Linked DNA regions of Kluyveromyces lactis. Each later gene encodes a partner of the first gene's protein in a complex. Links are inferred from orthologs where the notes say so. Each region holds a gene or a part of one and is shown in the gene's direction. Other genes may lie near its edges.

Region 1 (4,506 bases):
CTGTGGAAATATTGGCTCCACTGCTTACCTTACTACTTAATGTCAAATATGTACATAAAAATGTGTATACAGTGTCTCATTACAGTTTCTTGATAATAGCATTCAAAATAGCATACTTCGAATCAGATTTATCCATATTGGATAATAGATGTTGGGTCAAATAACCAGAATATAATGTAGTAAGTTGTTTGGCATTCGTCTCATCTAATTTGCTGATGTATGCAGAATACTTTTTGAAGGACAATTGGAGACTGTCGATGTTTAATTCGCCGGCAGGCATGAATTTGATATTTAATGTAACATCATGCAATAATAATTCCACATATTTTTCTGGCATACTTTTCTCAAGGGAAATATTATAATGTTCGTCCTTTAGCCATTGCAATACGTGATTTATCAGATATTCTCTTTTTAAATCTTGAAATTCCGAAAATAAGTTGATATACTCGAGGCATCTATCAAACAGGTAGGACATAACGTTTCTGCTGAGCTCTTCATCGACTTGCGAATTGGTAACGGCGTAGTATCCTTGATGTTTCTTGACAAAAGATGTGCCCAGATTCTTCATTGCGATATCGAATATAACCAATGCGACATCACCACGTAGTGCTGGATTAGTTTCTTCTGATCCAAGCATATTCATATCGGCTTCTGGTAACTCGTTTAGTTTATCTTTCATCTTGTCACCAGTACTTGGAAGTTGAATTCCGTCTTTGTCAAAGTATGCTTCGTCATCTGCAGTTTCTTCCAGACCTGTTACATTACTGGAGTTTCTTCCTTCCTCTTGCTGTTGTAGCATATCTAGCTCTTGTTCCCTTTCGTTGATTAAATTCATCACTTTTCTTCTATTTAACAATTTTGTCACGAAATTCAGTTCGAATTTAACGTACTCGTACCAGAGTTTAGAAGCATCTGGATTAAATCTAAGACCAGTTTGAAAAACATTTCTACAGCTCTTGAAGTTTGCGTGCAATTCGTATTCATATTTAGCACATGATATCCAAACGTCAACGTTTGTTGGATGTAATTTGAGCAATTGATTGTAGACGTTTTGAATCTTTTTATAAGAGGCATTTGTACCCTTTGATTTTAAATGATTCAAATATAAAGACCAAAATTTCAATTTTTTTGGGAACTTATTGCAGCCTCTTTGGAAAATATAGAGAATCCTCTGCTGTATGGTAAAATCCGAAATACTATTTGATTTGTTCGATTGCAAGATACGTTTAACACGTTTCATTCTTAATGCATCGACATTCTTCTCGTATTCAATATATCTGATGTAATCACTTATACTTGAACCTCTCGAACTCAATCTGTGTTCAAAATCAGTCCTTTTCTTCATAATTTTGTTTACTTCATTCTTAGTGAATAACTTCTTCTGCACTAAGTCATCAACTTCTGGAATACATTGTTCCAAGTAATATCTTGTTCTGGATGACATCGCCTTACTCTGGGTAGTTTTATGTTAAGTATTGATTAAAGTGTAATCACGGAGACTCGTATCGCTCGCTTACTGACAAAGGAAACGACTACTGGCTTTGTTCATGCTAAATAATACTGAGATGAGATGAGATGAGCCTTGAAGCTTTTGAATTTTTTTGGTTATATTGATTTCTTTTTCATATAATCAGTCAGAATAAAGTCCTCCATTTAAATAACCATCGATGAATAACAAAAGGACAAGTACAATTGTTGTTCTGCTAGCGTAAATCGGATTTTTTTTTACTGCAAATTGAATCCGCTTACATATGACATTCGGGACTACCATAAACTGCGACCCTTAATGTCGTTGTATGCTTTCATACAAGATGACAGTTTTGTTGATCGTTAATTCGGGCAATTTAACATTACCCGGATATTTTACATGGTAGACAAATTTTCGATAATCAAAAATCTGAATATGAAATAGGTTGAATACTAAAGATGATTGATTTGTTTGCGGTGATCAGACATAGGAGTGTCCAATTGATCCCCTTTGTATCGAGACATTAAGTCAGTGTATCAGAATCAGCCATGTTTTCCAAGAGACAAGGTTTGAATTTGTGCAAAAACGTATGTCAAACCCATTTTCATCACTGTTGCAATGGTAAAGCGCGGGCTTTCCTCAAACTGCATGATGATATCCTTCCGCATTAAGCAGTTATATCACCTACTTTTAGAAGATCGATTTACTAACTATTGCTCGTAATTTTTTGTTACTCTTTTCCCTATTCTCTACAGGTCCGTTACGTTTCCAACAAACCCCTTCCTAATGCTAGTCTACCGCCAAAATATACCTTAGCAACGGTTCGTTCATTCCCATCATTAGAACCATTGACATTTGCACCAGTGCCAACCTCAGTATTTGATGCTCCATTGAGAAGAGACTTACTATGGCGTGCTGTTGTTTACGAAAATGACAGTAAACGTGTTGGGTCTTCTAACCCCCCAGGCAGAAGTGATGTTGGTTATTCGAGAAGAAAGATTTTACCACAAAAGGGATCTGGTATGGCCAGAGCTGGTGACGCTAATTCACCAATAAGGCATAACGGTGGTAGAGCTCTAGCAAGAACTGCACCAAATGATTATACCACAGCGCTCCCAAAGAAAGTGTACTCTTTAGCATTCAATAACGCACTAAGTCATCAATACAGAAACGGTAACGTCTTCGTCATCGGAAGTGGTGACGGAATCTCCGAAACAAGCCAGGCTGATCTAAATGAATTGGAAATTCTTCCCATCGGGGAGGGCTCAGAAGATGGCGATATCGTGTTCGAAAAATTCCTAAAGCACTATGAGCTACAGAACAAGAAGCTATTATTCGTTATTAACGAACCAAGGCCAGGATTATTTTCATTTACAGAAAGATTCCAAGATAAAGTTAACATCGTCCAAAAAGAATTTGTTGATGTCAACGATCTACTTAAGGCTCACAGAATCTTTATTGAATTGGAAGCTTTAGAATACCTGGCTGTTACTCACGTTGTTTGATTATGGAACGAGATACTGATCATCAGACGGGAGTTAAAATAAAAGCTTCGAATAATAAACTCCACATTGCACCAACTCATCCACAACTTGTATATATATGTATGTGTGTATATTAACGTCACAAATAAAATGAAAATAGCTACACGGCTGTTTATCTAAGTTAGCGACATCCGTATTTGTAAAGACAATTGACCAATGCTGTGGCCATCATCAAGCTGTAAAATCCAAATCGAGGACAAACAGACGCAACCATTTCGGACTGTTGTCGGAAGCCTTATACACCCGTGCATTTTATTATTTTCAATGCGCCTATAACCGAATAATAGTTTAATTTTTCCTTTCCTTCAAGTTTCCTGATTAGGAAACCCATCCAACGTTTTTCAGACTTTGGGCTGAGTTTTCTCCGTGCCTAAGGAAAGACAGGGCATTAGGTGTGCCGACGCCTCGGTTCTTTCCAGTTTCTCCTCCCCGACAGAATTTCCATCCCCCTGATTCTGCTTCTCCTACCGACACCTTCTGCTCCTAGGCTGGGAACATGCACCACTAGACCGATCTTGCTCAGTGACAGAGTATGCTGGGCCTCTGTCCAGTTCTGGTTTGTGCGGTTGTGAGACAATCGTTCTATAGTGGTTTTACCGAATGGCAAGTTTGTATGGAGGGAAACCTTTGAACCTTTGCAAAATCATAGTGTTCAATTAGTGAAAAGCTACTTAACAATGATATATTAGTGTTATTATATTTAAATAACGGATACTTTATTATTAGGTAGTCGTTTTCGAAACAGAACGAGTAAGAAGCAAAGATGTCTCTAGTTGTTCAAGAACAAGGTTCCTTCCAACACATTTTGCGGTATGTTTTAAGATGAGAAACGTTTTAAGAGGATTACAACGAGGAAATTGAAATGAGATATGTTCAAGGGCAATGAATACGAGTATTATCAAGACAACACTACCGTGGTTATAAAGAGTTCCGAGGAGATGAAAGGTATTAGACAGCTTTATGAAAACATGCATTGCGCGTTACATTCGGTATATCATTTAGTGATGATGTTATACTATTAAAGTGAAGAAAATGAGAAGGAATACCACCAGATAGATGGTCCCACAATTTTTCCAAAGATCAAATCGAATTGAAAAGCTTACGCCCGTTAGTAGACAATATGCAGAATGTTGAACTCAAAAATGGATCTCCTTTCTGACATTTTACGTTAGGTCATCCAAAGTTTTATGTTGATTTAGGCATCGAAAACAATCAAAGTACCAAACTGCATAATCGAAGCAAGGAGAAGCATTTTGTGTTTATGGGTTTTCCTCCGTTGTCGCCCTCAGATTGACTATCATCAAATTTTACTAACATTTTTATTCCCATTATTTTTACAGTTTGTTGAACACCAACGTTGATGGTAACATCAATGTTGTCTACGCTTTGACTACCATCAGAGGTGTCGGTCGTAGATACGCCAACTTGGTTTGTAAGAAGGCTGATGTTGATTTACACAAGAGAGCTGGTGAATTGACCCAAGAAGAATTGGAA
Region 2 (3,877 bases), on another chromosome or scaffold:
TCAGATGATACCAATATGCTTTCACGTTTCAATACATGGGAACCAGACTATCTTGGTAAGCCACAGAAGGAATCAGTATTGAAACTAGACGATTTGCATTCCCAAGTGGCTCCTATCCCTTTACCAAATGTTAAAAATGAGCAACAGCCTCAAATTCCTATAGCAAGACCGAGCTCATCATCGTTATTTTCTGCATCGTCTCTGAGAACTCCACCTGCCCAAATTGAAATATCAGAACATGACCTAGATAGAATTATGAGATCTATTCCATCGGATTTCATCAATATGCCATTTTCCCAACGTAAGAAGATCATACAGGATTTAAGTCCCAACCATGACTATAAGACTATTATGAACATTTTGAAACGTGAGAAATTAAGCCACAGTGGCTCAACACATAACGTGAGATCCAGACATGGATCAGTTGCATCGAAATACTTGAACTCTTTTACCCCCGGTTCTAGTTCTTTCAAGAGGGACGATAAAGGGTCTTTCATTTTGGGTCATAGACTTGGCAAAATAATAGGGTTCGGCGCTTGGGGTATGATCAGGGAATGTTTCCCTTCTACAGATGAATCTCAAAACCAGAATAATACTTGTTGCAAGGCGATGAAGATTATCAAGTTCAAGGACAATCGAAGTGTAAAGAGGCAAGTACTACGTGAAATCTCAATATGGTCGAAACTTTCCCACAATAATATTCTTCCTTTAACAAAATGGAAATTAGACGATGATCTGGTGGCATATTGTTTAACAGATAAGATCGATCATGGAACCTTATACGATTTAGTTGTTTCTTGGGGCGAATGTGGTAATTCAAAGATTAGTTTAAGAGAAAGGTGTCAAGCTACATCCGCCTTAGCGTTACAATTAATTGATGCTGTACAATATATGCATTCTAAATTCATTGCACATGGAGATATAAAGTTGGAAAATTGCCTTCTAGAAAAAAAGTCTGAGAACTACAAAGATTGGAAGCTTGTATTATGCGATTTTGGCATGAGTCACTTTTATGGCCATTTCAAAGATCAGATGGAAAATGAATCAATTCAACTGAAATCCCTATTTGATGGGTCTACTCTTCACTTGAAACGAAGACCCTCAATTCCAAGATCTTCCTCTTCAACGAATAATTCTTCTTTACGGTTGAAATCAAGGTTAAGACAAATAGTGAACGATAAAAAATTAATTCATGATGATACGACTTTGGGTATTCACTCCGTACCAAAGAGCACTCGTTCTAACCTAACCAGCTCGTTGAACCAAAAAACAGACATTACATTAACACCTAACAAAGATTTGCATGAACATATCAACGATGACATGAGCAGAATTGGCTCTTTACCATACGCTGCTCCGGAGTTACTAGAACCCAACCCTCCTCCCATTGGACCAAGCGCTGATATATGGGCCATTGGTGTTTTAATTTTCACCATGCTTACCGGCAAATTACCTTTTAAACATGAATACGAGCCCAGACTTCGTGCAATAATAACTTCAGGTAAATATGATAAAACGACACTACGCCAAGTTTGTAACTGTGATATGAACTCGAACTTGGGTGTAGATGACCAGGTGGAATTCCAAGGTCTATTCAACGCAGTGAAGGGCTGCTTAACGAAAGACTTAACCCGGAGATGGGAACTTGATATGGTGAAAGTAGCTCTGGGTAAGCATTGAAACTAATCCTAAACTAACAAAATATTTTCTACTATTCTGTCCTTGTCAGTTATAACCCTTAATTTTTAATTCAACAAGCATACCAATAGCATTAATAGTAACGCATACTGTTACATTGACCTTTTTTCTGATGTTTTACCATTCTCAACAGCATAATACTTAATAATTTTACTGAAGTATATAACGATAACTAATGAAAACACCAGCTGTCTTAACAATGACGGCGTTGTAAGCACTTTATTTGTATGTAGTAAGCGTTGATAATGGCGTTGATTAGCCAATAATAAATCAATCACGTGATATACATCAATTATGGGTTAAGAAAAAATTTGATGAAACCAGACATAGAAAGCTTTAATCCTTTCTCTAACGATAGTCCAGGAAGAAAAGCTGTGCTTTCCCGATCAGTAGCAGCCTGCAGCACACGACCTAACTGAAGTTCACACTGTGACTGTTATAACATGATTTATTTGAAGTCTTTTTTGAAAGTCATTGACAACTCAGGTGCTCAAATTGCCGAATGTATCAAAGTACTTGGAAAAGGTTCGCCAAAATCTCCAGGTAGAATAGGTGACAAAATCGTCTGTGTGGTGAAGAAGGCTAAACCATTAACACAAACTATTACTGGGCAATCCAATAACAACAGAGTGAAGAAAGGTGATATTGTACACGCTGTGGTGGTACGTACCAAGCAAAGAAATATGATACGTCCTGATGGATCAACAATTGCGTTCGGTGACAATGCTTGTGTATTAATCAACAAGAATAATGGTGAACCTCTAGGGTCAAGAATTATGGGTAACGATGGTGTTGTCGGCAGAGAACTAAGGGAAAAGGGCTACAACAAGATTTGCTCTCTAGCAAGTAAAGTTTTGTAAATATGTTTCACCACTGGTAAATATCGATTACGACTGCGCAGGGCTTTTAGAATCATGTATATAGATAATAAAAAATAGAAAATATCGTTAGTAAAGTTTATGAAAATGCCATGATAAATATGATGGATACGCGACTACCAACTTATTGCTCATTGACAGTGATATCAATATTTTATAAGTGTTTCAAAGAGATGTATGTTTATCTTAAATATAGATAAAAATGATGCGAAAGAAACTAATCTAAATCTGCCAAAGTAGCAAGGCCTTCAGCTATGAAACAAATTTTGGTGTTACACCGGCCTTGGTGGATATGTAACGCAGCATTTTGTCCTCTTCATCCACGAACTTTTTAGCAATGAATCCACCGTTATCCTTTTATTCGGATCAACTTGGAAGATATGATAAAGTGCAGCAGTTCTGTACCGGTTCATACCTGGAGACACATGTTTCATTTCGTCAAATACATAATATTGTCCATGTTTTTCCATATCCTCGAGGAATGCGTCATATACTGAATCCTTGCCTTTGATAGCAATTTTCCATAAATAATGGCCTAAAACCATAACACAGTAGATAATACCACAGCTCCAGCAATCAACTAGTCTTGGATCGTATTGTTGTTTTGGAATAAACTCCTCAGGCGCAACATAAGGCTCAGATCCTGCTGGTCCGGTTTGGAAATGTGCTTTCTTTTCCCAGGCTGTTTGGAACACAGAACTTGTACCAAAATCACATATTTTTAATACACCTGTAGGGAGAAATAGCAAGTTTTCTGGTTTAATATCACAATGAGCTACACCGTGAGCATGCATGTATTGAATACCATGTAGTAGTTGTTTCATGAAGCAATCTGCTTCTAATGGATGTAAAACTGAATCAGATTTTGAGCTTCTTGTAATCAAGCTGTATAGATCACCTGAAGGGCAAAATTCCATTACTTCATAAAATGCGTTAGGTGTTTGCATTAAATCAATAACGTTTAAAATGTTAGGATGTGTTCTTGCCGAAGATCTTCTGCTTTTGTTACCACCACTCAACGATAATCCTATCACAAATTCTGAGGTTAGTCTTGTGCTAAACTTCTTTGGAGGCTCATCAGGTCTTGGCTTCAGTTCTTTTACCGCATAGAATAACTTGTTATCATGGAAATATGTATTATCTTTCAGATCAGGTTCATCTGGGTCAATAAATTTATAGCATAGTTTTACAACCCCATAGGCACCTTGTCCAATGATACCGATCGACTTCCCGTATTTCTCACATAAATGCTGCTTTCGTGGAGCAGAAGAAGGTTCATTGGAGGAAACTGCATCAGACTT
Region 3 (4,865 bases), on another chromosome or scaffold:
CAAATCCATCTTCTGATTATCTCTAAAATTTGTAACCAAAAGATGTTTAATTCCCCATAAAATACAGAGTGCCCACTGATATACTCCCAGAACCATACGAATCTCAAAATAAAATCGAGCGCCATAGCGCTATAATACCACGCATTTTTCCGGTACAACAAAATGCTTCTTAAAAGACCGTCCGCTTTGTTACTACTATTATTGTTATTGACACTAGTGTCCCCATTCACAAAATCGAACAGCTCTAGTTTCCAATCCATGGTCACATCCCACCAGAATGAATACGCGGAATTCCAAAACATGAACCAATACATCATTCCAAGTGGGCCCAGGTTGTAATATCTTGTATAGACTGTAACTAGCATGATAGGAATATTACCAGCATACTTAAAAGCATTGAACAATTGTGAACCATCTTTCTTCTGAGACCTTCCTCTTGTAAATTCTCTTAACGATTGAATCATTCTGACCAATGAGGGCAAGACTCCAACAAGTACGTCAATGTTTAACGATATAGCATTTTCATATCTTTCCACTTGACACTTGACGTTTGTTGGATCATGGAAAAGGAAAGTGGCATAAATAGCTAAATCCACCAATGGCTTAGAGTACGAGGTCAAAGTATCACTAATTATAATATAGTTATTCCTATACGGCTTTGGTTCAATGTCAGCTACCCAAAGTATTCTTTTAAAGCACCTTGCGACCATTGCTGATGACCTTAATATCATTGCAAATATGTAAAACAACTCCAGTAGTGGTGAAACATTCAAAAAAAACCAAAGCAATTTGTTGGATACGTTATTAGTGAAGGAGTATTGGAATAAGATTATACATACCAATTGCCACGGTATAATGACTCTAGAGATTGACTTGAACAGTTTCAGGCTTGATTGGTGTATTTTCGTGGATGTGTTAAAGTAAGGTAGTCCCGTGGACTCATTGGATACAATTACTTTGGACACGTCGTAGTAGGATACTGATACCTTCAGGAACCATGTCCATAGCCATAACCCTAATAACACAAGGACAACAACTCTCTGTGGGATCGGTAGGTAAACCAGAAAGGGTTCAACAGATTCGGCGTCCATGAATGCACGTATAAATAAGGAATCAAAAAAATGTAACAAAAAAAGGAGGAATAGAAGCAGAAGAAATCCCTTTCAGAAAGGCCCTGTGTGTATCGCTAACGGTTTAGATTTGTGGTTCACTGTCTCAGAGCTCTGTATAATCTAGGATCCTACGTTTTTAGTCCTAAGATAACACTTTTATTTCTATTGACATCTTTTCAAGACGTGTTTACAATTCAGATACCGGCACCAAAAATAAAAAAACACACACTACCGAAAAGCACAAGTTACAAGTACAAGAATGGAACAGCTAATGCTATATATAAACGTATTCAGGACTGTTAGAGATAACAAAAAGCGTGTTTCTAATCCTTTAAAATTTTGAATTTTATTCATGATTAGCATGGAAACTTTTAGTTCATCATTAATAGGTCTATATATTTAAGATAGAGAATGCCGAGTAATCCACTGACACATCTAACGTACACTTCGACTACCCGAATATATCCGGAAATGAAGAAAGTCAAACAAACAAGAAGATATAACTTGTACTGTATTGCCTGGACAGTTTATTTTAATAAAGTAATCGATTGATCAGAATTTTCAGTGTTTGGCTAATGCTAGTCGAATCGTTCATATTTTCGAAATCCGTTTGGGGCGACAGCGGTCATCATAATCGATATACTCAAAAAAAAAACAATCCAAATGATGGTATTTCCATACAGACAGTCATTATCTTCGTCGTTCCTTTTACTTGTTCATTTCCCGACATGAAGAGGAATTTGATTTCCGTTTGAGTTCAGTAAAAAAGACAGAATACGTTGCGAACAGGAACTCCTGTTCCTGATACACTACAAATCGAATCCTTGTTGGTTATGTCTCTAACTCTAATTAAAAGCTTTGTAACGGATAATAAAGTATTCGTGATGAGATAGAAACTTACCTCAAAATTTTTCACTTTTCCAGTTATTTAAACTAAAAACCATAAAACAGAAAGAATAGTCAATCTAACCATGAGAGACTGGTCTGCCATTAGGGCACAAAATAAGTACACAAAGATTTCCTGAATCACGTGACCAAATATTATATAATCCGGGTAAATTCAGAATACGTTCATAGTGATACTTCTTGCAAAAAATTCCATTTGACGATATTCCTCTGATGGTATTGAAGCTGTTTGAAATTAGAGATCGCTTGAAAGATTTTGATATTAACAAAAATGAACAATGTAATTGCAATGACTTAAACATTTTAAACTATGGATATTGATATATATAAGGGTGGATATATCTATAACAAATCTTATTAAGATCAGAGTTATTTTATTATTTCTGTGAAGGGCAGTAGCAAAGCGGAGATATTGGTATTAGACGGTTTACCCTAAGAATCTCGTTAGGTGCTCTGGATATAATATCATGTTCAAGCAATTCAACTTGAGATGCCTGACGCCGCTTGCCAGCGGCGTCTCCTCAAGAGTTCAAGTTCCGTGGAATGTTTCGATGATAATGTCTTTGAACAATACTTCACTTGGTGGAATCAGATCTATGGCCAGCATCACTCCAACCGGGAATGAAGAACAATCTTCAGTTGACGATGTCAATGTCCATATGTTGAAAATCGTTCCTAATAACACAGATGTGGTAGCACTAGAGAAGCAAGACGAATTGTTAAGAAGAAGAAGAAAGTTGGCTAAGGAAGTTACACAAATGAAGAAATTGAAACCGGTTTCTCCAGGTTTGAGATGGTACCGTGCGCCAATTTATCCATATTTGCATAAGGGAAGACCTGTTAAATCTTTGACTCTTGCCAAGAGAGGAAATGGTGGTAGAAACCATAGTGGTAAGATCACGGTGAGACATCGTGGTGGTGGTCATAAAAGAAGATTGAGAACAGTCGATTTCAGTCGTTTCGAATCTGGTATGCAAACTGTGGAAAGAATCGAATACGATCCTGGTAGAAGTGCACATATTGCATTGATAAAACATAACGATACTGGTGCCCTAAGCTACATTTTAGCATGTGATGGGCTAAGAGCTGGGGATACCATCGAATCATACAGAAAAGGTATTCCACCATCATTTTTGAAAGAAATGGGTGGGAAGATCGATCCTGCCATCTTATCTGTTAGAACAGCTCAAAGAGGTAACTGTCTACCAATCTCTATGATCCCAATCGGATCCATCGTTCATAATATTGGTATCACTCCTACAGGTCCAGGTAAGTTCTGTCGTGCTGCTGGTTCTTACGCACGTATCTTATCCAAGATCCCAGAAAAGAATAAAGCTGTTGTCCGTCTACAAAGTGGTGAGCACCGTTACGTATCATTGGAAGCTGCAGCTACCATGGGTGTTGTCTCAAATATTGACCATCAAAACCGTTCTCTAGGTAAAGCTGGTAGATCTAGATGGTTGGGTATAAGACCAACTGTCAGAGGTGTGGCAATGAACAAATGTGACCATCCTCACGGTGGTGGTAGAGGTAAATCTAAGTCCAAAAAGTTGTCCATGTCTCCATGGGGTCAATTGGCCAAGGGTTACAAGACAAGAAGGGGTAAGCATCAAAACAAAATGAAGGTTAAAGATAGACCAAGAGGTAAGGCTGGTAGAAAGGCTAGACAATGATAAGCTTCCCCACAACTGATCCTATCTTAAATATCATCAGTTTTTGTAAACTTATTTCAATGACTTCCATCCTGTAAATATCGTAGAACTAGTTAATTTAAAGAAATAACATAACATCTGTTCAGTTACCAACTCTATTTTAAACAAAGTTTAGATTACTACATCCAGAGCATCATTTGGTCTCTTCTTCCAGCTTAAATTCCCAGTTCCCAAGTTCGAATAAGGAACCAACGACTAACCTTACATGCTGGGCCATGTGATCAAATGAAAGTCTGTCTAAAGTGTCCATCGTACTGTGAATGTATTTGTTAGATTTGTTGAACTCACTTTCAATGACAAAGGAAGCGGGGAATCCATTCTTCGTTGCACTTCCGTGATCACTACATGCATATCCACATTCCGTTTCCACGTAAGGAATATCCAAGAATCTTCTTATAATCAACTTAATAAATTCAGTTAGACCTGGCGTGGTATAATCAGTAATGACACCAACATGCTCATTTTCTGGATCTTCAACATATCCGGTCATATCTTGTTGCAACATTGCGACGACTTTTTTGTTCTCCTCTGCATACCTGGTGAAGACATCCAAAGAACCTAGTAAACCACCTTCTTCTGCACTATAGAAATGGAACTCAATGGTGTTATTGGGTCTGTAACCTGTTGTAGAGAGATGTTCAACGTATAATCTCAATGCCTCTAGATTGGTTACGGTACCAGATCCATCGTCATCAGCTCCTGGCGCAGCAAGTATCGATGGCAATAAAAGGTTCATAGAGTCCTGATGCGATCCCATTACGACAATGTTCTCGGGAGTTTGTGCTCCTTTAATCGATACGATGATGGAGAATTGCTTCCAACCTTTATGCTGAACATGTTCAATGACAACGTCATTGTTCAATGGACTAGTGATGTTAGATAATTTCTCGGAGAGCCAAACAGCAGATTCGTACCCCGTGTCAGATTTGTAATAGCGAGTGTAGAAACTTGTGAATTTTGCCAAATTATCATGCATTGAAACCTTATCAACTCCCTTGGACAACGAATTTACAATTTCGTCGCATTGAGTTTCCTTCGGATAACGGTACACTGGCACAACAGCCTTTTCATCTTTGGACTTAAGTAATTTGGGAAAATTGGTAATATCCATGAATTGCACTCCTTTCCTCTTGAG
Region 4 (4,016 bases), on another chromosome or scaffold:
CAGTGGAGATCCAATATGTTGCTTTGAGAAATATAAGAATTATTTTGGATGCCTTCCCAAACTTGTTAAGGAAAGAGTTAAGAATATTCTATGTCAAATTTAATGATCCATTGTACGTGAAGATAGAGAAATTAGACATCTTGCTCAGATTAGTGCCCGTGGATAATTTGAAACATTGCCAGATGCTTTTCAACGAATTAAAAGAATATGCAAAGGACTTTGATCATGAATTCGTGACCAAAGCTATCCAATCCATCTCACAATTGGCCATTAAAGTCTCGAACGGAGGTGAAGATACGAATAACAAGTTTTTGAATATGGTCATGGAAGAATTCGTTTCGATTGTCCAGGAGAGAGAAGAGTTTAGGGATATATTGATGAGATGCGTATGCGACATGTTACGTTATGACAGTGACAACAATCTTATCAAGGAAACAAGTAAGAATGAGTTGGGTGCCATAATTTCCTCATGGCAAGATATCGATACCATATTTACATCTGATCTAGGCAGTTGTAACTACATCTGGTTTATCACCAACTATACAAACGAAAATTTGGAAACTAAGCTTGAACCACTGGTAGAAGTTTTCGATGAATTAGGATCCCTAACTCAAATGTCCCTTCTAATGGGTGTAGTGAAATGCCATAATGCAGTCTCAAGTGCTTTCTTACAGAAGATCTTGGAACTTTGTACGACAGACGTCCACGATTTGGACGTTAGAGACATGGCCATGATGTACTGGCGGTGTCTATCGATCGACAACGGTGATCAAATCATCAACCAATTATTTGACAAGCATGAAATTCCTAAATTGCATTCTACCTTGGACCACTTCTCCAAGGAAACATTACAAAGTCTACTTCAAGAGCTCTCCACTCTATCCTCTGTGTATTTCAAACCAATCTCGCAGATGCAACGCCGTCCCAACGAAGTTCACATCATTAAGGATAAGGATATTGATGAATTAAAGGGAATGGCCACGAACGAGATCCTGAAAAACATGAACGATGATGTACTACTTGACATGGGTGATAGCTCTGCCACGAGAAGTACAGGCGTCCTGGACGAACTAAATGATCTTTTCGATATCACTGGTGATATGGGGAAAGTAAACATTTCACAGAAAACCAATAATAACAACAACAACACCTCGAATTCCCATGCAACCGATCTTCTAGACTTAATGTAAACTAGTTTACTCTTTTGAACACCTGTACAAACTATAATTATAATGGGAAACAATGAAGCAGATAAACTTCAATCATGGATGTGCCTTTCTAAAATGTTAATTTATTATGGTGCAGTATCTACTACTATATACAAGTAACCCCAGTGGCATGTCATGTCATGTCATATCATGTCAACTTTATTCCTTTTGTTTCTTGAGAAGATCCTCAAGTCTCTCAATCTTACGTTCCACTATCAAGTCACGTTGACGATCCAGATTAGAATCCTTCTGGTATGATAATATACATTTGCGCATAGCGTCACGAGGTTCGTTACACGCTGGGAAAAGCTTCAATCCATGAATCTTTGAACATTCGACCATGGCCTCCACGTATTCTACACATTGTGCATATGCAAATTTCTTCAAATTCTGACGAGCTTCTTTCTCCTCGGTAGGGTTCAATACCCAAATTGGTAATCTTTGATTATGCTTTCCAACGCCCTCTGACATTTCTAAATGAATAATCTATCTTTGTGGTGCAGTATTCCAGTACTATAAGAACTTCTGACCTATGGTTATGGACACAGCAGCAGCTACAAATGACAATACGCTGGCTGTTCCCCAAAATCGTTTAAATCAGTTGACATTGTTCATTTGCATAATGTTGAGATTTAAAGCTTTTTCATGGATACTTTGAAAAATTTCGAAGGTTTAAAAGATTTAATACCATGAATTACGGTGGGAAATTGGTAAAAGCCAGCCAGTAGCACCGTTATACAAACTGTTTAAGCAGCTCGTTAGGTTCTGTCATACCCGGGTCAATTGAATATCTTTGTTTCATAGAGAAATGTTCGGTGCATTCAGAGCTACACAACCTGCATTAGGTGGATTATTATGGAAAGTCCCATGGCGTATGTCTGGTCCTCAAAAAGCAAGACAAAGAGACCGTTTGAGAAGCGTTGATGATGTTCTTTCAACTCTTAAGTTAGGTCTTCATCTTGAAAGAAACCATATGGCGGTTTCTGAGGGATCTCAGCTGAATCTACGTAAGATTAAACCTCGTGTGAAGAGCTTACGTATTTTAGACAAGGCTCAGTATTTCCCAAAGGAACCGGAGATGTCTGCTACTGATAAGTACAGTGTATTCAACAGGTACTCGAAGGGATATAGAAAGGGTATACATAAAGTTCCCAAATGGACCAAGCTTTCCATCAGAAGAAACCCACGTCATTTCTGATTTGGATGAATCATCATTAAAAACTTCTATTATTACATAGTAAGTAGCCCCTGTACATAGTGAATAAAATCAAGGTATCATAGTTCATCCCAGATGTTGTGAGATGATGATGATGATGATAATGGACGGGCTTCATTCCTTAGATCGAGCAATTGGTCATTATATAGTGCTACGTCAAGGGAATGGAACAACTTCAACTTTAGCACACGTATCTTGTCATCTTTACCGATCGGTTCCTCATCAATCGTGTGGGCAGCATCAGTATCGTCATTGAGTAATTGTTTCTGTGTTTCTACGACCTTTTGAATACCCTCTTGTATCGTATCTCGAAGCTGGTTAATTTCCTGTACCAGTTTATCTATGTCTTGTTGCAATTTCGGTATGTTTAATTCGTCCTCTACGCGTTTCACTTGGCTTGTTTGCTCCTGAAAATTCTTTTTAAGTGCCTGCACTTTAGTTTGCTGTCTTTGCAGCTGTGATTGCAATTGTTTCATGAGCTCATTGTGGTGTGTTTGTTTCTCAGCCATCAATTTCGTGAGCTGTCTCATATTACTCTTGATCTCTTTAATATTAGAGACATCGCTTTCAATGATGAAATTGGACCGGGTTTGCTGTAAAAGCTCTACTGGATCATTGAGCCGTGACATTGGGTGCTGCAATATCCACTGTTGCTCAGTACTGTGCAGTACTGTTTCATATATCACATCTATTTATGATTCAATTCGATGAGATTGTCAATTGTGTTCACTTAAATCAAAACATTGAATCTTTAAAATTGCATCCACTAATAGCAGAGAACCTTTAAAACAGAAGTACCAAAGGATATTGCTCAAGATCTTTACTCGGAAGGTCATCCACGTTACTGATATTTACCATGGACAACAAACAGCGCCAATATGCGAGACTAGCAGCACATTTGAAACAACTTCGTGAGAATCTCGATGAGACAACGGCTCAAGTGGAAATCATGGCAAACCAAAGCAATATGATAACGAAACTGGGAGCCGTCCAAGCCAGCACTTTCATCGGCAGTAACCGTGTATTCGAAGATGAAATGTTAAAGAAATGAGGTATGAGATACATGCCTACGATAAATATCGGTTTGTAACACTATATGTATATATGAACGTATACCTAATATCTATGGATCATGAGAAAATGAGAAAATGAGATCAAAGGAAAACCCCCGCTTCTTCTCTAAACGGTGGTCTCCTTCTGGCGTTCGCGCTCCTTCCTTCTGATCTTTTTCACTTCGTACTCGTGCGAACCTTTGAACTCGGGTCCCAAGAGTAGAGGTTGTGGTTTGGGTTCATTTGTGAAGTAATGATGCTGTAATGCTTCAGTTGTCGTGAATCTTGTATCCTGATCGTATCGTAACAATTTGGATGCCAAATCTAGGGCATCCTGCGGTACTTTGCTGAACTCATCGAAGAATACGTTCTTGTAAGTCTTAGATATTTGTGGTACAAGCATGAACCACCACGGCATATCTAACATCTTGGGCCATTGTTCCAAAGTCGGACTTCCCATGATGCTCAATATTCGCTGGAATTGATCTACTTCGTTAGAACCTGGGAATATGGCAGCCCCTGCAAACAATTCCACTAAGA
Region 5 (3,813 bases), on another chromosome or scaffold:
TTTCCCAACGCAGCATTATTCTTCACACTTAGTATAGATTGCGTCCTGTTATTATCTTTGCTAGCTAGTGGGCGTCTGTTGCCCCGTACTAATGAGTCCGTCCGCTTCATCTGGTTTAGAGGGGTCCTCAGACCCAAATCATTGTCAGGATCTTGGACGGATATGATATTCTCCTTCCCTTCGTTCGGCATAGCTATTTGAATCTGTATATAGCCAATATCTCTTCTAGTCTGACTTCACGCTAGCTTAACAGACAAAATTGGAATATCTTACCGTTGATTGCTCGGCTTTGAACGACCTTGAGCTCTTACTGTTTGTAAATTTTGAGACAGTTTTTGTTATGTTTGTATATTTGTGTTGTTGTTTTTGATCGAATTTGGTGAATCAAACTGAGTATATGTGGTGTATGGATGTTACGGTGATACTGGATACATCTTCATTGCTTAGTACTCATGAAAATACTCCAAAAGAATCCGGAATGTCGCGATGCTTTGAGACTATGCCCACGTCAACAAGGAGCAGTAGCAGTGCCTACTACAAAATGTGAGTTTGTGTCGCTGTTCTTCCTGGTTTCGTTTCGTGTCTGGCTTTCCAAATTGCAATATGGAATAGTAAGTAGGTACGAAAATTTTCTAGCCTAGAGCACACACATGACGATCTTCATACAGAGAACAGGCTCGGAAGAGGTTCTGTATTAATCTAAAGACGAAGGTTATTACTGTTTAAAATAGGTCATAATCGAATGGACATACTGTGAAGTATTGTGCGTATTTTTTTGACAACAGTTTTGGAGGTTGACGATGAAGGCTAGTCTTCTGAGAACTTCGAAATTATACAAGGGTCTTCATTCAATAACTAAAGACGCCATTTCGAAGGTGGACACTTTCCCCAAGAATAAGCAACATGAAACGCTACATCGGTTAAACTCTTTCAATGAGAATCCAACACGCAAGACCTTGGAGAAATTAGTCTATTCTGTTCATTTCCATTTGTTGAACGATCCTCCTAAACACGTAGACATATTGAGACAATACCCTAATGAGTTGGCAAAATTTTGGCCCTATGAAATGCAGCACTCGATTTTAGAAATGGATGACCCAAATCTAACATCTCAAACGATTTTATGGTCTCGTAACAATAAGGATGCTTTGGATTTCTTGAGCTTCAATCGTCATAAGTGGCTGCGGCCGAAAAACTGGCAGACTCCGAATGAGGAACTTATAAAAGATATCACAGGAATTGACGGTCTTCAATCAACTCAAATTACAGAAGTATTAAGACTCCCTGCAGAAAAGATAAAGGAGACACTACGGCAAATTTTCGAGCATTACTATTTCTTGAAGACAAATCCGAAACTATGCGCTACAAAAAAACTCCAGGCACCAATCGTTGAGATCGGAATGAAACCTGATGGTTTCGATATAGCCGACATCAGGATCGATAACTTGTTTAAGAAAAAGGTCAAGCTAATTAGTGACCTGCTCTACTCGCAAAATCCGGTGCTGACTTCAGATGCAGAGTCTATATTAACGTCAATAGTTAACGACCCAGATCTCAATAGGCGAACGAAAAGATTGTATAAAAATGTTGCCAGCAGATCTTACCTTTTCAAAGATGGGAAGTTCGAAATAAGTGAACTTGCTAGAGGCGGATTTGTCCTGTCGAAGGAAAATTTGAGCGAGAACTTAGCTGCTGCCCTTGAGGAAGAACATAATTGACTTATGAACACACATCACGTGATATATAATTTACCTACAGCTACCATTTTAGCTCAATGTAAATAGAAAACACTTTAATAATAATGTTAGCCAGGAAATGAAACCGCCAATACACTTATTGTAACAGACTAGTCTAAGACCGATTTGAAGTTTCAGCGGTTTGCTAGAAGCCAAGTTTGTTCGCTTCCACAGATGCTTTCACTATTTCCAACATCCATCGATATTTTCATACATTTACATTAGTCTCGAGAAAGAAAAAATTTGAATTCAAAGAAATCAAACGAAGAGAAACCAGGACATATTTCTTGAAGACGAAGTCTCCTAAAAGTAGTCGCCCGAACTACTCATTAGTTATCGATAAGGATTTAATTCGAAGTGAAGAACAATTAAAATAAAATCTCATCCAGTCGTTATGAGTTTTATAACAAGAAATCTTCTTCAGTGGACCTCAAAACGTACATTAACCAGTTTCTCTAGTTTCTCACCTTTAAGAACACTAGACTCACGTCTTCATAGACCTTTGGCGCAAGTCAATCCAATGGAAATCACTTTACAATCTCAAACACAAGCAAATGGCTCATCAATATTTGGTATGTTGTTCGATTTGACTCAGAGAAGATGGAAAAGTAGAGGTAACACTTTCCAACCGAGTACTTTAAAGAGAAAGAGAAGAGTGGGGTTCCTAGCAAGGGCAAGATCTAGAAGTGGACAACAGATACTTAAAAGAAGAAAGAATAAAGGCAGATGGTATTTGACTTATTAGTTCTGTTCAACTTTCCAATCAAACCAGGAACGTTATGGAAGCGCCTGATTATAAAGAATGGCTGAATCTCCTGTATATATATCCACATCGTCATTATGTATTTTAAGAAAACGGAACAGTTTTGATTTTAGCTTTGCCATCAGAAAGCTGGCATGACATTAAGATGATTCTATCGGATAGGTTTATAGTTATCAATTGCAGAAGGAATCTTTTTTCTATTAACGATTTCTATGTACATGGGCATTATTTCTGAAGTAAGTTTCATTCTATCTTGACAAGGACAACAATTCCAGTTATTGTTCATAAAAATTGGGTTGCTTTATTAAGCAAAGTCAATCACAATACCAGGACCGTGTGTACTTGTCAGCGTAGTTTGGGACAATATGCTTGGTTTTTTCGTTTGTTGATTGGTGATAGATTGTTTGAAAGCCTTCTGTGTTGCCAACAAGTTCTCTAGAACTTCCTTGTCAGTGAAATGGGTCTTGGCAACACCTAAACTAATACTGTTACCACGTTGTCTGAATGGAACAGAGCTCATACTATCTTTAATCAATGGCTCAAGATCTTCGGCGACGGTTCCCTTCTTGGCAGTTGGCAGTAAACCACGAGGACCCAAAATTCTACCAACTTGAGAAGCAAGTTGTGGAACAATATCTGGAGTTGCAAAAGCCTTGTCAAAGTCGATACTGACTTCACCAGCCTTGATTTGACTTACTAAATCTGAACCGCCGACTAAATGAACACTGTATTTATCTTTCATCAAAGCCGCTTGTGCCTCGTCATTAGTGAAGACAGCAACTTTCACATCTTTAAGAGGTTTGCCGAAGGAAACATTACCTGTAAGAGGGGGGACACCTCTTTCTGCTACCACCAATGTAGTTAACGTGATGGTTTGTTGGCTTGCTGGTTGCCCGACTTCGATTGCACGTAAGTATCTTAGTGCTCTAGAAACTGGCATATACAGTGGATGGTCACTGGCCGGAGTTTTTGCTTGCAATCTTCTTTGAACCATTTTTCTTAGCTCCCTCTTTCTAAGTTGCTCTTTAGTCAACTTAGTACCCGTTTCTTCCGCTAGACGGAAGGACGTTATCTGGAACTGCCTGGTGAATATTCTTGGAAACATCTTGCCGACCCTATTAGCCTCTAAGTAGCGAAATTGGAAAAAATCTCAGGTTATTCAGAGACACAAGTCTTTGAAGTTTTTACGTGAAATAGTTGAAAATTGATTGTATCCTCTCCAAAGGGTAATATAACGTCAACTCGTTGTTCTCATCGTTCTTGTTAACGCTTCCAAGATTTTAATCCAACTAATCATTATACTAAAGCTGAAAA
Region 6 (4,133 bases), about 500 kb from region 1:
CATTCAGATCAGACCTTGGTTTGAAGGAAATCGGATAAAGGCTGGGCCTTATTTAGAACTCTTTCTAGTGAGAGTATAAGAGATATATCACTGTTTTGACTCTGTGCCAACTTTCTCTTTTTTTCCAATCTGAACCGCTATATCTTGCATGAGGCAAGACCTGCAAAGAGAAGAAAGATGAGACCTTTTGACAACGAATCCAAGGGATTTCTTTCTGGCCGAACAGATCAAATTGAATTACCTGTGGTACAGGCTGTTTCAACAAGTTCAAATTCTCAAGAACCACTTCTTTCTAGCAAAGACCCACTACGAGATGGAAGCAACGTGGGGAATAGGTTGAGTGGAAACAGCGAAACTCTGATAACCAACTCTGATGCTGATCATCCTATGGAGACGGATAATAATAACTCTAATCTTAATAATACTAATTCCTCTACTAATACTAATGATAACAAAGATTCGTCATCCAATTCCAGCAATAATGAAAATGGGGACAGTAGCAACAATTCAAATAGAAGGCATAGCAACCATTGTCACAAGCATAACCATCTAAGCAGCACTTCTACCCTCAAGGCAAGAGTTACTTCTGGAAAATATGCATTATATGATTTTCAGATTCTGAGAACTTTGGGTACAGGTTCGTTTGGTAGAGTTCATTTGGTGAGATCCAATCACAACGGCAGGTTCTATGCAATGAAAGTTTTGAAAAAAAACACCGTTGTCAAATTGAAACAAGTGGAGCATACCAACGATGAAAGAAATATGCTAAGTATAGTATCCCATCCTTTCATAATTAGAATGTGGGGAACTTTCCAGGACTCACAGCAATTGTTTATGATCATGGATTACATCGAAGGTGGTGAACTATTCTCTCTTTTAAGGAAGTCTCAAAGGTTCCCAAACCCGGTCGCGAAGTTTTATGCAGCAGAAGTTTGTCTTGCGTTGGAATACCTACATTCTAAAGGCATCATTTACAGAGATTTGAAACCAGAAAATATCCTTTTAGATAAGAACGGACATATCAAGTTAACTGATTTCGGGTTCGCTAAATATGTTCCTGATGTCACTTACACTCTCTGTGGAACACCGGACTATATCGCACCTGAAGTGGTAAGCACAAAACCTTACAACAAATCTGTGGATTGGTGGAGTTTTGGTGTTTTAATCTACGAAATGTTAGCAGGATATACACCTTTCTACGATTCAAACACAATTAAGACCTATGAGAATATTCTAAATGCTCCAGTAAGATTCCCACCATTTTTCCATTCTGATGCTCAAGATCTAATATCGAAACTCATCACAAGAGACTTAAGTCAACGGCTAGGTAATTTACAAAATGGAAGTGAGGACGTAAAGAATCATCCGTGGTTCAGCGAGGTTGTGTGGGAAAAACTACTCTGCAAAAACATTGAAACTCCATATGAACCTCCTATTCAGGCCGGACAAGGCGATACCTCTCAATACGATAGGTATCCAGAGGAAGAGGTTAATTATGGCATTCAAGGCGAAGATCCGTACCATAGTATTTTCACCAACTTTTAGCAGGCATACTTGCTCATGAAATTCAGATATCAACATGCCTCTTATCTTGCATCTACACAATATGTAAACTTTAACACGCCTTTCCCCCCGTTAGTCCCTTTTCTTTTTTTTTTTGTTTTGATATATCGGCTCATTGCCTTCAGAAACGCTGCCGTTATTTGATACATTCCTTTGAATGACCATCGTACAATACTAGATGGATTGATGTACGCACTTCCAATTCAAAATTCGTTTCATTCGTTTTGCTGTACTCTCCAATGGATGCTCGATGCAATAATCTTATTTTTGGAGTATTTATCTATCTATAATCAATGGCATTTACATATTTTGAATGCATGTATAAGACTTCATCACAAGTCCTTCCCTCACGATCCATGCTACATAAATTGTAAACTGGGGTAAGTCATGGCACATTCATTTATGTTTTGGACGTAACTTGCTTCTGTCGAATGATTTCACGTGACCAATGAATTTTTTTCCAAACTATTGAAAATTCAAAAAGTTCAGTGGACATGTCCAGTTGAAATGAGAATGATTTTACGAAATAGATGATTGAAGTGATATTGCTGAAAGTGAAGGGTCCTGGTTGCTCTACTTTATCGTCAAGGTTTATTTTACCGATTGGATACTTATACTCATTGTCACTCTAGAGAAGATCATTAATAAATAATGTCAGGAATCGTTAAACAACAAAAATTTTTGAACAAGATCAGTGCGACTACCGTGAAACCTCAAATTATATTAGATGTATCGAAGTACAGTGCATTGAATGTGAAGTTCCAGTATCAGAATTTCAATGGCCATATGGGTGCCCGTAAGTTCTGGCACGAGTTTTTGCCTTCTCTGCAGTTTTACAACCCTGCGTTGCCAATCAATGTGACCAGAATTAGAAACGATGATAAAAAAGTCGATGTACCATGCATACTAGAAGCTATTGGATCCGATGGGAAGGTTGTAGCTGAAGTTTCAATGAAGCACAAACACTCATCTGAAATTATGGATGAAGTGCTACAGAAATTGGAACACAAAAGAGTACCCCAGGAAGAAATAATAAAGGTATGAGCTCCGACCTTTGACAAAGAAAAACAAACAAACTGGAATACCTAAATATACTACTTTCAAAGTTAGGTCCTGTACATATGTATATAATAAGATACTTTTCATCCGATTTGATGTCTTATTCAAATGACATATCCTTTTGAGATGAGTTGACTCTCTGCCCAAGGATCGTCAAGACATTCAAGAACACGCGAGAAGAAGATTTAAAACGCCAGTATATGGTTACCAGGTGGTTATTTAACTTGAATTTCAGAACGCCTCTTACATCTAATTGTCATTAAGACATCTTACATTAACAGCGACTTCTTCATCTGCGGAAATGGTTTTCTGCGTATTGTTCAGTTGAAATTTTTCAATCTCGAAAATGATAAATCGCTTCAGATCTCATCATCTCATCTCATCTCATCGGTTGACCACAGAAATTATCAACACCCCAAAGAGGCATATAGTAGGGGCATTATTCACAGGTGAAGACTCTCAACCCAACAACACGAATGTCTAATACAGACTCCAGTGATACAGATGATATTCTAACATTTGTACTGGAATCCAAGGGGTTTTTCCACACTGCCGGCTGTGAGATTAGAAGATCTGATTATGGTGGTTTAGGAGTGTTTGCATTAAAGGATTTGAAGGAGGACACTGTACTCCTTAGGATTCCGAAATCTTCTGTTTTCACTGCAGAAAATAGTAGCATTGCCAATCTACTGGTTGATAGCGAGGTAAAAGGCATGTTGGCATTAAACATTGCATATATTTATGAAGTATTCATATTTCAAGTTGAAAGCCATTGGTACAAATATTTGAAGAGCATTTCACACAGACAAAATGGGAGTCTATATCTTCCACCGGCATACTGGGAAGATAATGAGAAAATTTTGCTGAAGAATACTGCATTGGATGTTGTATTCGAGGCGTTGTCTCCACAAGAAGAGATAGAAAATGGTTTCAAAGTTGGTATTGCATTATCCCGTAAGTGGAACGAAGAATTTGGGCTGAAAATACCGTATTTGTTCGACTTCAATTTAGAAGATCAGAAGCAAGTCTCTTCGAATTTTAAAGAATTTGCTGCTATAGCATTCGCCATATCGTCAAGAGTATTTGAGATCGACAACTATCATGATTCTGGATTAGTTGCCATAGCAGACCTTTTTAACCATCACGCAACGAGGCCCGACGTAAGGTTTGAGAGCATGTATGATGTGTGCGATATGTGTGGGGAATTAGGGGATTGCAAGCATGTGATTGCTGAGACGAAGGCATTGGATATGGAGATGGAACAGAGAACTCAAAGAATAACACCAAGGGAAACCGGGACAATAAGCTTGTCAGTTATTGAAGAGTTAGAAAGAGAATTAGACCCTTCAGATTCAGAATCTGTGGAGGAAACTGTTTCTGATGAGAATGCAGAAGAAACTCCTGAGGCAATAATGCCCAAGAACATTGATACTGATGAATGTGTAGATATCATTCTTTCAAACGATGTCAAAGCGGGAGAAGAAATATTCAACTCGTATGGTGACCATTCC
Region 7 (4,116 bases), on another chromosome or scaffold:
TAGGTCCCCATCAACGGAAGCATTGCCATCATAGGGTTCTTCATTACTGTCTTCAATGATTTTGATCACAATTATATCAGTTGTTCCTTCCTTTATACCAAATCTGTTCAATGCATCGCCAATGTTCGAACTAGGAGATAGTGATAAAATGCATTCAGAATGGATAGTTCTTGTCCGCATTCTATTGTACTCTGTTTCCAAAATAGCCTTATAGATGGCACTCGACAATTGTTCAACGGATATCACAGTTTTGGAGTCGATGTATGCAAAAGGTAATTCAGCCAATTTGGATCGTAGCTCAGAAGAATTGGTAACATTGTTATACTTCTGAACATGAATAGTATACTCCTGAAACTGAGGAATCTTGTACTTCAAAACTATTCCAGCCATTTGTCTTGTGATGAGCTCTTGGAACTTCTTGGATGCAAGTCGCCTACTATCGGTCCTTCTTTTAACTTCACTTTCTGATTATCTGTACTGTTACTGACTTACTATTTAAATCTTTCAAATCAATCCGAGTAGTTTCTAGCGTAGAAAGATTGATAGAAAACCATGAGTACACAAACTTTACAAAAGGTTCAGAACAAGAAAACACAATAAGTGATCACTTTGCTATATCAACGGTATATGTACTGTCAATGGAGCTTCCAGACGAGGAAAACGTTTGGGATAGTGTTTTTGAGGAAAGGCAGTTGAGCGAAGTAGTACGGGATCAAGGACCAAATGATCTCGAACGACCAGCAGCGCATAAAGAACCAATTGCTACCGAACAACCACTGGGGAATAAGCTTGAGAATCAGAAAGATGATGATGATGACGAATATATTAGAAAAGTTCGTACAGCTGTAGAACAATTCGAAAAGGCAGGCTTCTTCGAGGATTTAGACGATACTAAAAAGGGTTCAAAAACAAAAGCCATGGTATATAAGCTAGCAGACGAGGTGATAGCCCGACATAAAGACAAACTCTTACGCATAAGAGACCCAAATTATGATAAGTGGTCTGAACCATTAAAAACCCCCATGATAGATAAATATCATGAAATCAAAGAAGAATGGAGACGTGAGGAAACGAACCACGGTTCCAGTAGTTTAAACAACAGTTCAATGACTACACAGAATGTTACATTTGCATGGAGTTCAAATGCTCATCGACCGGAGCTGACCGCACCAAAGAAGCCTTTGGAACCGCATTCCAATAAGAAATCAACAAATGAAATACTACGGAGTAAAGCAATGAAAAGCGCTCATGAATTAAGAAGTAAGCAAATTCTGCTCAATAAACTGCGGGATAAAAATGATAGAAACAATCTGCCTTCACAGGATGGTGATGATGTCAAGCCGAAATTTAAAATGGATCCCTTGGAACCATTTGTCGCCAAAGCTTTACCGAGAGAGAAGAAGAAGCGACCAAAGGAGAAAAGGAAGAGCAAATTTTGGTTTTGGGGATCCCTTACCCATCATACTGACGAAGGAAACCACAGAGACAAAGCTAGGTCGCCAGAGCTTGAAGATTATAAAATTGGTGTTGTATCACCGAATTCGCGGTCCCCCACGTTATCGATTCCTTTCTCTGATCCCGATAACACTCAGACTATTACCAATAACGCAGTATCGGACAACATTAACCATCACCTGTCGCTAATAGACCTCGACGATGACGAGGAACACTTAAAGTGTTCAACGCCACCGTTAATACTGTGATACGTACTTTTTTTAGGCCTAATATATTTATTTCTCATCCTATTTAAATATCATCTACATTAGCACTGTAACTATATACCTTTTTTTGAGCCGGCGTTATTATAACTTGTTCTCTGCGTACCGGGGTAGCCACGATTGCCTCTGGTATGTGGTTGGTGCTCATATGACCCACTTGATTGCAATTTTCTGCTTGCTCCTCTCGTAGTGCCTTGTCTTCCTTAAGAACATCTGTATACGTTGGAGGATCCTCTGGCAAGGAACTTTTCTTCTCATCAGGATATTGCTTCTGATCGTCTTGAGACATCTTTCCGTAAGTTTGAGTTTAACTGTTTACGACTCCGAATGTTGGTCCAAGGGAAATCTCAACTCTTCGAACAGCGTCGGTTCTGATTGCCATTAAAATATATTGTCGTTTCTATACATTATAAATGGTTCAAACAGGGTCCTTGATGTGCAGATTTCCCTTTAAAACCTTACAAATGGCGTAATGCTATATCATCATATATCAGATGTAAAGATGAAAAGAAGGAAAATATGATATCTAAGGTATTCCAGGCTTTGTTAGATTCAATTTTTCATTATGTGAGGTGGCATAGCAGGTAATCAAGACAAGTCGGAAGTTAATCACCTACCAGCTAGTCGAAGGGCAGCTACTCCCTGTGTACTTGAACCTTTTTAGGTCACGTGCAAAAGAGTTTAGCAGTCAAAATAATCAACAGTTCCGGGTAACAGACATTTGTTTGTTCAACATCAGTAACTTTGAAAAATTTTGAAGATTCGATGAGGTTTCAGTGAGTTTATTGTTAGCTTTGACAATAAATTGAATGACGATTAAATACGGGTTGATTTTCTGCGATAAGTTCGTGTGATAGCATACAGCTTCTCAGCCAACCGAAAGGATCATTAATACTCCATCCACTATGCTAGCGAGTGCAGCATCTCGTAAGAATGCCTTGAAGGTAGTGCAACCCTCTTTGAACTTTGTTCGTGGGAAAAGAACTAAATCGAAAGGTGGATTAAATCCTCAAGCGCAAAGAATCATTACACAACTCTCTGTTATGTCTGCTAGCAGGAAACAGCCAAAACTTTTAAAACTTTCCCGTGAAGATTTGATCAAACATGATATGATTCAAGCTTGTTGGGCGCAATATCAAAGGGAACTGAGGGAAAAGAGAACAAATCTCTTGAAACTACAGTACGAGAATATAGAAGAAGCTATGAACTTATTAGAACAGGTAGATCCCGAACTATATGAAATGGCTAACGCTGAAGAATCAGGTAAGAGGGTCCCATTGGAACTAAGGGTACCTACTCAATACCCACCGAACAATGTGTGGTATTATGATTACAAGAAAAAGGATTGAATAGTTCGTTTCCAGGCATAATGCATTAAAGGTAGAGCACGAATCATATTTCACATTATCTCTTCTAGGACACTTTTTTATCGGTACACCAAACGTGGGTTGCTCGAGAAACAACTTGTGTGATCTACAGGCAAGACCAAGTGCCACGCAATAAAATATAATGGAGATGTTGCATTATATATTGTAATGAAAGAGTTAGATAGAAGAAATGTAAACAAACCATGTAAATAAGCAATTCTACGAAATGATTATCGGCAGAATGAAGCTCTTAAGCTTTTCAAAGGGGACTTTAACCGTATTCCAAAGTGACAGTGTACTTCAGAAAAAAACATGGCTTCTGTGTATACATCGGTTCGAATATGAATAATGGTCTTGTTTACAAATAGCATTATTCATTTGACTTAGATGATTTTAGCTTGAATGGGTACATGGTTAGCAAAATGGCATCACCATACATATTTTCTCCAGAATGATTTGCCTGCGGTGTTTTCAACGTTTGGAAGTAGCAGCCACGACAAAATCATTAGTTGAAACAACCCAAGAACAATAGGGAAGAGAACCCATGTACCTGTGCGATCAGAAATAAGCCCAACTACTAATGGAACTACAGCACCACCGGAAGAACCCATTGAAGTCATGATCAATAACGACTGTGATAATATTTTCCTTGGTAGAATCTTGGGATGCGACACTAGAGCAATCATTAAGGGATAGATTGGGCCTATAAACAATCCAGATATTGTTGTACAAACCGCAGAAACATAGAAGTTTGGTATTAACCACGCCAAAAGCAACAATACTGAAATGTTTAACGTTAGTAGGAAAATGGAACGACGACCACCTAATTTCTTGTATAATAATGTGGTCAAGCAGAATCTCCCTAGAGTTAATCCACCCCAATAACCAGATGCTATATAACCTGTGCTGTTTGCATTACCATGACGTTCCTCTAAAAGGAAGGTAACCATCCAGCCACCAAGTGAAACTTCCCCACCTTGATAAAAGAACACGAAAGCGCACAGTAACCAAGTTCTATAATCTCTGATAGA

What was found.
Region 2: YML6 (region 1) and MRPL38 share a complex: the UniProt entries of both Saccharomyces cerevisiae proteins name them as parts of the mitochondrial large ribosomal subunit. The link is inferred for Kluyveromyces lactis from reciprocal best matches to the Saccharomyces cerevisiae genes YML6 and MRPL38.
Region 3: YML6 (region 1) and RML2 share a complex: the UniProt entries of both Saccharomyces cerevisiae proteins name them as parts of the mitochondrial large ribosomal subunit. The link is inferred for Kluyveromyces lactis from reciprocal best matches to the Saccharomyces cerevisiae genes YML6 and RML2.
Region 4: YML6 (region 1) and MRPL31 share a complex: the UniProt entries of both Saccharomyces cerevisiae proteins name them as parts of the mitochondrial large ribosomal subunit. The link is inferred for Kluyveromyces lactis from reciprocal best matches to the Saccharomyces cerevisiae genes YML6 and MRPL31.
Region 5: YML6 (region 1) and MRX14 share a complex: the UniProt entries of both Saccharomyces cerevisiae proteins name them as parts of the mitochondrial large ribosomal subunit. The link is inferred for Kluyveromyces lactis from reciprocal best matches to the Saccharomyces cerevisiae genes YML6 and MRX14.
Region 6: YML6 (region 1) and MRP49 share a complex: the UniProt entries of both Saccharomyces cerevisiae proteins name them as parts of the mitochondrial large ribosomal subunit. The link is inferred for Kluyveromyces lactis from reciprocal best matches to the Saccharomyces cerevisiae genes YML6 and MRP49.
Region 7: YML6 (region 1) and MRPL28 share a complex: the UniProt entries of both Saccharomyces cerevisiae proteins name them as parts of the mitochondrial large ribosomal subunit. The link is inferred for Kluyveromyces lactis from reciprocal best matches to the Saccharomyces cerevisiae genes YML6 and MRPL28.

The regions. Positions count from the first base shown.
Region 1 is NC_006038.1:119,848-124,353, forward strand, and holds YML6 (mitochondrial 54S ribosomal protein uL4m), read left to right. Parts: upstream 1-2,016; coding exon 2,017-2,055; intron 2,056-2,223; coding exon 2,224-2,973; downstream 2,974-4,506. Other genes in the region: snoRNA-binding rRNA-processing protein UTP6, read right to left, coding at 80-1,444; RPS18A (40S ribosomal protein uS13), read left to right, coding at 3,776-3,822, 4,353-4,506. UniProt on the Saccharomyces cerevisiae protein: Component of the mitochondrial ribosome (mitoribosome), a dedicated translation machinery responsible for the synthesis of mitochondrial genome-encoded proteins, including at least some of the essential transmembrane subunits of the mitochondrial respiratory chain.
Region 2 is NC_006037.1:612,838-616,714, forward strand, and holds MRPL38 (mitochondrial 54S ribosomal protein uL14m), read left to right. Parts: upstream 1-2,141; coding exon 2,142-2,558; downstream 2,559-3,877. Other genes in the region: protein kinase NNK1, read left to right, coding at 1-1,680; putative serine/threonine protein kinase KKQ8, read right to left, coding at 2,849-3,877. UniProt on the Saccharomyces cerevisiae protein: Component of the mitochondrial ribosome (mitoribosome), a dedicated translation machinery responsible for the synthesis of mitochondrial genome-encoded proteins, including at least some of the essential transmembrane subunits of the mitochondrial respiratory chain.
Region 3 is NC_006037.1:182,446-187,310, reverse strand, and holds RML2 (mitochondrial 54S ribosomal protein uL2m), read left to right. Parts: upstream 1-2,485; coding exon 2,486-3,691; downstream 3,692-4,865. Other genes in the region: ERD1 (Erd1p), read right to left, coding at 1-1,091; KLLA0_A02013g (putative aminopeptidase), read right to left, coding at 3,864-4,865. UniProt on the Saccharomyces cerevisiae protein: Component of the mitochondrial ribosome (mitoribosome), a dedicated translation machinery responsible for the synthesis of mitochondrial genome-encoded proteins, including at least some of the essential transmembrane subunits of the mitochondrial respiratory chain.
Region 4 is NC_006041.1:1,081,200-1,085,215, reverse strand, and holds MRPL31 (mitochondrial 54S ribosomal protein mL60), read left to right. Parts: upstream 1-2,016; coding exon 2,017-2,406; downstream 2,407-4,016. Other genes in the region: APL2 (Apl2p), read left to right, coding at 1-1,190; CMC1 (Cmc1p), read right to left, coding at 1,368-1,679; kinetochore-associated Ndc80 complex subunit SPC24, read right to left, coding at 2,484-3,053; HSK3 (Hsk3p), read left to right, coding at 3,281-3,475; cyclin-dependent serine/threonine protein kinase CTK1, read right to left, coding at 3,604-4,016. UniProt on the Saccharomyces cerevisiae protein: Component of the mitochondrial ribosome (mitoribosome), a dedicated translation machinery responsible for the synthesis of mitochondrial genome-encoded proteins, including at least some of the essential transmembrane subunits of the mitochondrial respiratory chain.
Region 5 is NC_006042.1:1,780,694-1,784,506, forward strand, and holds MRX14 (mitochondrial 54S ribosomal protein bL34m), read left to right. Parts: upstream 1-2,130; coding exon 2,131-2,481; downstream 2,482-3,813. Other genes in the region: PDS1 (securin), read right to left, coding at 1-191; GEP5 (Gep5p), read left to right, coding at 801-1,718; MRPL1 (mitochondrial 54S ribosomal protein uL1m), read right to left, coding at 2,804-3,604. UniProt on the Saccharomyces cerevisiae protein: Component of the mitochondrial ribosome (mitoribosome), a dedicated translation machinery responsible for the synthesis of mitochondrial genome-encoded proteins, including at least some of the essential transmembrane subunits of the mitochondrial respiratory chain.
Region 6 is NC_006038.1:622,018-626,150, reverse strand, and holds MRP49 (mitochondrial 54S ribosomal protein mL61), read left to right. Parts: upstream 1-2,214; coding exon 2,215-2,607; downstream 2,608-4,133. Other genes in the region: KLLA0_B07205g (cAMP-dependent protein kinase), read left to right, coding at 178-1,545; RKM3 (protein-lysine N-methyltransferase), read left to right, coding at 3,099-4,133. UniProt on the Saccharomyces cerevisiae protein: Component of the mitochondrial ribosome (mitoribosome), a dedicated translation machinery responsible for the synthesis of mitochondrial genome-encoded proteins, including at least some of the essential transmembrane subunits of the mitochondrial respiratory chain.
Region 7 is NC_006039.1:1,298,574-1,302,689, forward strand, and holds MRPL28 (mitochondrial 54S ribosomal protein mL40), read left to right. Parts: upstream 1-2,623; coding exon 2,624-3,067; downstream 3,068-4,116. Other genes in the region: CGI121 (Cgi121p), read right to left, coding at 1-390; LFT1 (Lft1p), read left to right, coding at 639-1,703; KLLA0_C14916g (uncharacterized protein), read right to left, coding at 1,747-2,007; KLLA0_C14949g (MFS transporter), read right to left, coding at 3,514-4,116. UniProt on the Saccharomyces cerevisiae protein: Component of the mitochondrial ribosome (mitoribosome), a dedicated translation machinery responsible for the synthesis of mitochondrial genome-encoded proteins, including at least some of the essential transmembrane subunits of the mitochondrial respiratory chain.